Callithrix jacchus: one gene and its partner. The protein of the gene in region 1 binds, or shares a complex with, the protein of each later gene. Links are inferred from orthologs where the notes say so. Each region holds a gene or a part of one and is shown in the gene's direction. Other genes may lie near its edges. The genes, in order: CFB and CFD.

Evidence for each region.
Region 2: the proteins of CFB (region 1) and CFD are in contact, whole or in part, in a crystal structure (PDB 2XWB), measured with the Homo sapiens proteins. The link is inferred for Callithrix jacchus from reciprocal best matches to the Homo sapiens genes CFB and CFD. Residues at the interface, in NP_001701.2 of Homo sapiens: Glu298, Ala301, Ser302, Ala332, Asp333, Ile469, Asp470, Glu471, Ser472, Glu518, Tyr519, Lys585, Asp758, Glu759, Asp760; in NP_001919.2 of Homo sapiens: Asn157, His158, Ala159, Gly160, Arg161, Arg162, Arg182, Thr183, Asp186, Arg200, Val228, Cys229, Gly230, Asn231, Arg232, Lys233.

What each region holds. Positions count from the first base shown.
Region 1 is NC_133505.1:39,468,388-39,472,452, forward strand, and holds the end of CFB (complement factor B), read left to right. Parts: intron 1-205; coding exon 206-334; intron 335-616; coding exon 617-718; intron 719-793; coding exon 794-931; intron 932-1,437; coding exon 1,438-1,535; intron 1,536-1,673; coding exon 1,674-1,791; intron 1,792-1,979; coding exon 1,980-2,133; intron 2,134-2,233; coding exon 2,234-2,310; intron 2,311-2,510; coding exon 2,511-2,611; intron 2,612-2,709; coding exon 2,710-2,842; intron 2,843-2,923; coding exon 2,924-2,973; intron 2,974-3,232; coding exon 3,233-3,388; 3' UTR 3,389-3,429; downstream 3,430-4,065. Other genes in the region: NELFE (negative elongation factor E), read right to left, coding at 3,644-3,741.
Region 2 is NC_133523.1:804,853-809,324, forward strand, and holds the start of CFD (complement factor D), read left to right. Parts: upstream 1-1,603; 5' UTR 1,604-1,629; coding exon 1,630-1,684; intron 1,685-3,084; coding exon 3,085-3,241; intron 3,242-3,331; coding exon 3,332-3,509; intron 3,510-4,233; coding exon 4,234-4,472.

The sequences.
Region 1 (4,065 bases):
GTAAAAGGTTGGACTGCAGGGTCACTGGCAATGGAGGTTAGTGAAAACCTGCTGGGGCTGGAAGGGCCACTTTGTGGTCAAAGGGAAGTCTGTGCAATGATCACTTAAAAAGTTGAAAGATGTGGGATCTCAGTTGCAGACTGGCCTCTGGGGTTAAGATGGCTTGGAAGACCAGGGGAGGTGATAATCTCTTCCCTCTTCATAGACCACAAGTTGAAGTCAGGGACTAACACCAAGAAGGCCCTCCAGGCAGTGTACACCATGATGAGCTGGCCAGACAACCCTCCTGAAGGCTGGAACCGCACCCGCCATGTCATCATCCTCATGACTGATGGTCAGAAGGGACCTCTCTCCTGTCCCAGTCTCCCCTCCTTCTCAGACCAGCATGTGACCCTTAAGCCCACTTGTAACACTATACTCACAATTGGAGCCCCGAATGTGATTCATAGCTGGTTGTTAATCTCTCCTATGACCCTTTAGAATAAATTCTTCCTAAAGCCCTGTTACCAACTATCTCTATCCCTTCCTCAACTTGCTCACCTTGCCATGTGTACCACTGCCTCTAGACAATTTATCTTGCTTATCTCCCATCCTCATGGTCCCGACTCTTCTGCAGGATTGCACAACATGGGTGGGGACCCAGTTACCGTCATTGACGAGATCCGAGACTTGCTATACATTGGCAAGGATCGCAAAAACCCAAGGGAGGATTATCTGGGTGAGTAACCTGCCTAGGACCCAGCACCCTACTTTCTCAGGGATTGGACCCTCATCCTTCCTTTTTCTCCCTCAGATGTCTATGTGTTTGGCGTTGGGCCTTTGGTGGACTCGGTGAACATCAATGCTTTGGCTTCCAAGAAAGACAATGAGCAACACGTGTTCAAAGTCAAGGATATGGAAAACCTGGAAGATGTTTTCTTCCAAATGATTGGTAGGGAGATACAAGAAGGGAATAAAGAAGGCAACTCTCCTCAGGCTCCTCTGAAGTCATTCATTCTTCCTCTACCCCTGAAGCTCTAGTTGCCTGGAAAGGCTTTTCATTCCTCCTTCTCTACCTCCGTGTCACTATTCTTGTTTCCTGGCACTGTTCACTTCTTAACCTTAGAATCACAGAGTTCTGAGCACTTCAGAGATCTTTCTATAGTCCTACATTTGACACATGTGGAAACAGGCCAAAAGAGGTTAAGGGTAGCAAGCCAGCAACAGGGTTGGGCCTGAAAACAGCCAGGCCTCTGCCAGCTTGATCCTAAGTTCTTTTCCTTTTCACTCCCCTACAGCAGTTTTCTCCTAACACAAGGAAACAAATGCCCCTCACCTTTCCTTTTCTCCTTTTGGGCTTCTGCTCCCCATAGACATGCAGGGACTCTTCCCCAAAAGACTGCTGCCATTTGGGAATAAAGTATTCCCAGTTTTCAGCACATTCTCCTTCTCTGCCAGATGAATCCCAGTCCCTGAGTCTTTGTGGCATGGTTTGGGAACACAGGAAGGGTACCGATTACCACAAGCAACCATGGCAGGCCAAGATCTCAGTCACTGTAAGCACAGAATCCTAGTAGTGGAGACTTGGGGGAGGTGAGGTCAAGGTGAAATGGGAGTAGGGGAAGGGCAAAATGGCCGTAAGAGATGGTGGTTTGTGAAAGTTGAGCTTTCCCCCTCTACTGTTCTGTTCCCAGCGCCCTTCGAAGGGACATGAGAACTGTATGGGGGCTGTGGTGTCTGAGTACTTTGTGCTGACAGCAGCGCATTGTTTCACTGTGGATGACAAGGAACACTCGATCAAGGTCAGCGTGGGTAAGGATGCAACTGATGGTCCTGGGCTGCAGCTACGCCCTCCTACAGATCCTACACTCCACCCATCCTCGATGCAGCCCCATCCCTTGCAACCCAGACCAGTCAGAGATGGGGAAGACTTGAAGTCAGGAATGACACGGGGCCAGAGATAGGAAGCTGCCCACAAAGCAGTATCTACTCTACTTCAGGAGGGAAGAGACGGGAGCTGGAGATAGAAAAAATCCTATTTCACCCCAACTACAACATTAATGGGAAAAAAGCAGCAGGAATTCCTGAATTTTATGACTATGACGTTGCCTTGATCAAGCTCAAAACTAAGCTGCAGTATGACCCGACTACCAGGTGAGAGCATCCAGATCCCTGCTGGGAAAGCCTGGCTGGAGGACTGGGGTGAGGGGCAGGCCTGCTTTGCTGTTCCTGACTTTCTCCCTGTCCTTTATAGGCCCATTTGTCTCCCCTGCACCGAGGGAACAACTCGAGCTTTGAGGCTTCCTCCGGCGACCACTTGCCAGCAACAGAGTAAGACATATTCAGGGAGAGGATAAGGATGAGATCCCAAGAGACAAGTGGGGAATGAGAAGGAGGTGCAATAGGAAGAGATGATGCCCGGCCCAGGACCCAGCTCTAGGAAGGGCTTAGGGGACATCTGCTGAGTGACAAAGGCAATGGGGAGATGATAGTGGTGGGGGCAGCTGAAGTGACACAGTCTATTTGTCCAGAGGAAGAGCTGCTCCCTGCACAGGATATCAAAGCTCTGTTTGTATCTGAGGAGGAGAAGAAGCTGACTCGGAAGGAAGTCTACATCAAGAATGGTGATAAGGTAAGACATGGGCACCCTAAGGAGGTACTCTAGGCCCCAGCCCTTCCTAAGCTACATCTGTTCATTATCCTTCTCCATGCTTCCCACCTCCCCTACAGAAAGGCAGCTGTGAGAGAGATGCTCAATACGCTCCAGGCTATGACAAAGTCAAGGACATCTCTGAGGTGGTCACCCCCCGGTTCCTTTGTACTGGAGGAGTGAGTCCCTATGCTGACCCCAATACTTGCAGAGGTGAGAGAAGGCTCTGGGGTTGTGCGGCAAGTTCCCAAGGCCCAGGAGTCCTTTTCCCTACAGCTTCTCCTCTCCCTGCAGGCGATTCTGGCGGCCCCTTGATTGTTCACAAGAGGAGTCGTTTCATTCAAGTGAGTCCTCCCTTTCCTATCTGGGGAGATGCCAAGTGGTCAGCACAGGCCCGAAAGCAGGAAAGCTCAATGTATATTGAGCCCAGGGCCTGCTTCACCTCAGGGCCACATGTCTGGCCTGTGTCTGAACGAACAAGACTGAGCTGGGTCCCTAGTCTGATTCCTTTAGGTCAGCTAAGACACAACCAGGATCAGCCATGCTTCCAGGATTAGAAAGGAGGTCTACTGAATGATCCACGGCACCCCTCTGCCTCTGCAGGTTGGTGTAATCAGTTGGGGAGTAGTGGACGTCTGCAAAAACCACAGGCGGCAAAAGCAGGTACCTGCTCACGCCCGAGACTTTCACATTAACCTCTTCCAAGTGCTGCCCTGGCTGAAGGAGAAACTCCAAGATGAAGATTTGGGTTTTCTATAAGGGGTTTCCTGCTGGACTGAATTAAAACAGCTGCGACAACACCTGTGTTCCAGATCCTTTTGGGGCGATGGAGTGGGGAACAGGCACTGGCCATGTTGTTACAGAGATCAAACCTCACAGCCGTTTTTAAAGGCTTAACCCCAATCCCAAGTGCTGAAAAACCAGAGGCTGAGGGAGATGTGTAAGCTTCCACCTCAGTGTTTTACTGAGACCAGCATTGGGGCATATGAGGCACAAGGAATCCAGCTCTGGTCCCTAGAAGCCATCCACAAGGTTTTCCTTGTAGACATCATCACTGTAGACAATCTGGGTCCTCTTGTCCCGGTGGCAACCCTTAGGGCTGTTCTGGACAGCTAGGGAGGGAGGAGAGGAAGAGTTAAGGTCTAAAGGAGAACACAGATCAGACCCTGAGGCCGACTCTGGACTACCTCACTCCTGGCCGGGGTCTCTGGAAGCCAAGTTTTCACACTGCCCTCTGGTGGCCAGGATTGTCTGTCTCCCTTAGCTCCTTCGTGCCAACCCATGGCCAAGAAGAGTACAAGTGGATATTATGATGAATGTTTTGTTCTTAGAAAAATCCCAAATGTCATTGCTGAGACACGTGAACGATGTTACCCACTACTTATAGTATGTCAAAAGTTAAAAACTAGAAAACCTCTGTAGCCCTTTGTTGACAT
Region 2 (4,472 bases), on another chromosome or scaffold:
GACATGGAAAGCTCTCTGGGTGTGGTAAGAGGAAAATGAAACAGGAAGACAGAGGGTAATCATGGTGAGCAGCTGGAGCCTGGTGGGGAAGAGGTGAAACATGGCGCTGACCACGGCCAGGCCCGCAGTCCCTGCACTTCCAGAGCAAGACCCTATCTGCAGTAAAACAAAAGCAAGGCCGGGCGCGGGGGCTCACGCCTGTCATCCCAGCACTTTGGGAGGCCGAGGCGGGTGGATCACAAGGTCAAGAGATCGAGACCATCCCGGTCAACATGGTGAAACCCCGTCTCTACCAAAAATACAAAAAATCAGCTGGGCACGGTGGCGCGCGCCTGTAATCCCAGCTACTCGGGAGGCTGAGATGGGAGAATCGCCTGAACCCGGGAGGCGGAGGCTGCAGTGAGCCGAGATGGTGCCGTCGCACTCCAGCCTGGGCAACGAGAGCAAAATTCCGTCTCGAAAATAAATAAGTAAATAATCCATGATGGAGAGAAAAGAAGGATGGGGAAAATCCTGTGTGCTGCTCCCCCTGGGGATGATGTCCGAAGTCCTCCCCACCATGGACCCACCACTCCCACCTCACAGATTCCAAGAAGTATTTTCATTTTTTTGCAGAGATGGGGTCTCACTATGTTGCCCAAGCTGGCCTCGAATTCCAGGGCTCCTGTCTTGGTCTCTCAACATGCTGGGCTGCGAGGTGGGAGCCACTGTGCCCAGCCAGCCCTGATTCTTTTCATCAGAACCTGCCCTCACTGAACAGTTTGGCAGTGGGCATTTGATCCAGGATCTGCCAACTTTGAGACTTGGCTGCAGTGATGAGGAATTTTAAGAGGGGCCCACTGAGCCACTGGGTTGAGTGTGGGGTCCCTGGAAGCATAACAGGGGAGTCTGGTGAGAAGAGAGGCCATCAGAGAAGAAAGGAGAAGCCAGAGGCAGACACTAGACATTGTTCAGGCAGCTGGATCACACCACACCTGAAAGCAGCCATCCCTGAACTTTCTATACAACCTTCGCGATTCCGGCTCCACCCAGTTTGTCTCGGTTTTCTTGTCTCTTGTAGCCAGTCTTCCCAGCTGCCTCTGCGCTGTCCTTTCCAACATTCTACTTGTCCGGGCATCAAGCCCCAGAAGCCGCGGGGACAGAGACAAGGGTGTCAAGTGACCCTCCCACACCCATCAGAGCTTCTCTCCAATTTGGAGGAGGAAGAGGAGAAGGGAGGGGCGGGAGGATGAGGAAGTGGGTTGTTTACATTCTGGTTTCCAACTGGGATTGTGAAACAAGCTGGAGGAACTCCGGGTCTGAAGTTGGGGCTGGGGGGCTGGGGCGGGTGCAGCCCCCCTCTCTACTTCATGCCCATCTGAGGGACTGCCCCCCGACCAGGGCCAGAGGCCATCAGGCTCACGGAGGCCGGAGGGTCTCCCAGCAACCTGTTGACTCTGGTGTGAGTCTGGCAGGAGGTAACCCAGCCCCCAGGAGGGTGGAGGCTGGGAGGGCGGGTCCCCCTTTCTCCAGCTGGAGCACTGCCCACCTGACAGTCAGGGCTCCCGGGAGCCTCCCACCCCCTCCACCGTCATAAAAGCACCCCCAGGGCCCCGCCTGGGTCAGTGTGTCCACCACAGCGGCTTCACCATGCACAGCTGGGGGCGCCTGGCAGTTCTGGTCCTCCTAGGAGTGGTGGCCTGCGGTAAGGGGTCCTGGGCCTGGGGTGAGGGGCAGGGGTGTGCCAGGTGGCCCTCTCGGTCACACGGAGGGTCCTCCAGCCCCACCAGGTAGGCAGGAAGAGGGGAGTGTCACTCCTCACCATCTAGAAACTTTGGATTGGAAATTGGAGCTTTCTGGGGTCAGCTTTTCTTGCAGAGAGAATCTGAGTGTCTGCGTGGAAAACTGTTCTTCCACGCGGCTGGCTGAGCTGCCCGGGGCACTGGAGGTAACCCCGAATCTGGGCACTGAGAAAGGAGAGCTAAGCAGATCCCGGGCACAATTAGTGCATGAAGAATATATATAAAAGGAAGTAACCGAGTAATAAGATATTCTTCGGGCACTAATTGTTCCCACTGTGAACTAATATGTGATTATATATGTAAAGGATTATATGAAGGAAATAGCTAATAACGCTATAAACTAAGACATTCTTCAGGCGCTACTGGTGCCGGGATCTGCTTAGCTCTCCTTCCTCGGTGCCCAGATGGGGGGTTACCCACAGGGCACTGGCTGGGTCAGCCCTATTTCTGTTATGTCCAGTTGGAAGCCATTGCACCCAGGGTGGAGAACTGGGATCCGTCCCTGGTCCCCAGCCCACTGTGGCTTCTGTCCTCCCGGGCATTCTGGCCCCCGGAGCATCTGAGTCTGTGACGCTGAGGGGCCCCAAGATGCAGATGGATTTTTTTTTTTTTTTTTTGAGACAGAGTCTTGCTCTGTCTGTTGCCCAGCCCGCTACAGAGACACCATCTGGGCTCACTGCAACCTCAGCCTCCCGGGTTCAAGCCATTCTCTTGCCTAATCCTCCAGAGTAGCTGGGATTACAGGCACCCACCACCACGCCCAGCTAATGTTTTGTATTTATTAATTTATTTTTTGTTTAGACAGAGTTTCTTGTTACCCAGGCTGGAGTGCAATGGCGCGATCTCGGCTCACCACAACCTCCGCCTCCTGGGTTCAGGCAATTCTCCTGCCTCAGCCTCCCGAGTAGCTGGAATTACAGGCACGCGCCACCAAGCCCAGCTAATTTTTTGTATTTTTAGTAGAGACGGGGTTTCACCATGTTGACCAGGATGGTCTCGATCTCTTAACCTCGTGATCCACCCGCCTCGGCCTCCCAAAGTGCTGGGATTACAGGCGTGAGCCACCGCGCCCGGCCCATGTTTTGTATTTTTAATAGAGACGGGGTTTCATTGTGTTGGTCAGGCTGGTCTCGAACCGCTGACCTCGTGATCCGCCTCGGCCTCCCCAGATGCTGGGGTCACAGGCACGAATCACCACACCCTGAGATGAGATTCTTGCTGGGAGCGGGCCGTGGGGTGAGGGCTGGGATCCGGCGAGGGGAGCAGTTGACCCCGCGGCCCTCACGCGTCCCACGACCCACAGCGGCGCAGCCCCGAGGTCGGATCCTGGGCGGCAGCGAGGCCGTGGCCCACGAGCGGCCCTACATGGCATCGGTGCAGGTGAACGGCGAGCACCGGTGCGGCGGCGTCCTGGTGGCGGAGCAGTGGGTGCTGAGCGCCGCGCACTGCCTGGGGGACGCGTGAGTGTCGGCGGCGCGCGCAGGGAGGAGCCCCGGGGGGAGGTGGGGAGGCTCGGCTGGCACCGACCGCGGACCCCGCCCGGTCCCCAGGGCCGACGAGAAGGTGCAGGTACTCCTGGGCGCGCATTCCCTGTCGCAGCCGGAGCCCTCCAAGCGCCTGTACGACGTGCTCCGCGCAGTGCGCCACCCGGACAGCCGGCCCGACTCCATCGACCACGACCTCCTCCTGCTGCAGGTCCGCCCGGCCCCGCCTGCACCCGCGCCCCGGGTTTGTCCTGGATGTCTCCTGCCCTGCTGGGACCCCCGACCCACCCTCACTCCACCCCGCCTGCACCCCCACCCTGGATCCAGCCCGAGCTCTCCGGCTTCATGGGGACCCCGCCCCCCATCCCCGCACCCTCGCCCTGGGTCTAGCCTCGACCTCTCCTGCTGCGCTGGGAGCCCCCAACCCCCGCTCCCCCTGCATCCCCACCATGAGTCCTGCTGCGCTGGGAGCCCCCAACCCCCGCTCCCCCTGCATCCCCACCATGAGTCCTGCTGCGCTGGGAGCCCCCAACCCCCGCTCCCCCTGCATCCCCACCATGAGTCCTGCTGCGCTGGGAGCAGTCCCCCAAAACTCCGCTGCCCCCGCACCCCACCCCGGGTCCAGCTCCAGCTCTGACCTCTCCAGCTGCATGGGGGCCCCGCCCCGCCCCGCCCCGCCCCCGCCCCCTCCCCCTGGGTCTAGCCTTGATCTCTCCTGCTGCGCTGGAAGCCCCCCCAAAGACCCCTGCTCCCCCTGCATCCCCACCTCGGTCTAGCCTCGACTTCTGCGGCTGCACTGGGGACCCTCGCACCCACCCCACCCCCACCCACACCCCACCCAGGATCCAGCCTGGACCTCTCCCGCTGCACCGAGACCCCCGCCCCTGCCCTGATGCCCACTTCCCCCGTCCGGGCTCCCCGGCCTCGCGGCCCCGCGCCCCAACCCTGACGTCCGCCTCCACCCCCAGCTGTCTGAGGAGGCCGTGCTGGGCCCTGCTGTGCGCCCCCTGCCCTGGCAACGCGTGGACCGCGACGTGGCGCCGGGCACTCTCTGCGACGTGGCCGGCTGGGGCACAGTCAGCCACGCGGGCCGCCGGCCCGACCGCCTGCAGCACGTGGTCCTGCCGGTGATGGACCGCGCCACCTGCAACCGGCGCACGCACCACGACGGCGCCATCACCCAGCGCCTGATGTGCGCGGAGAGCAA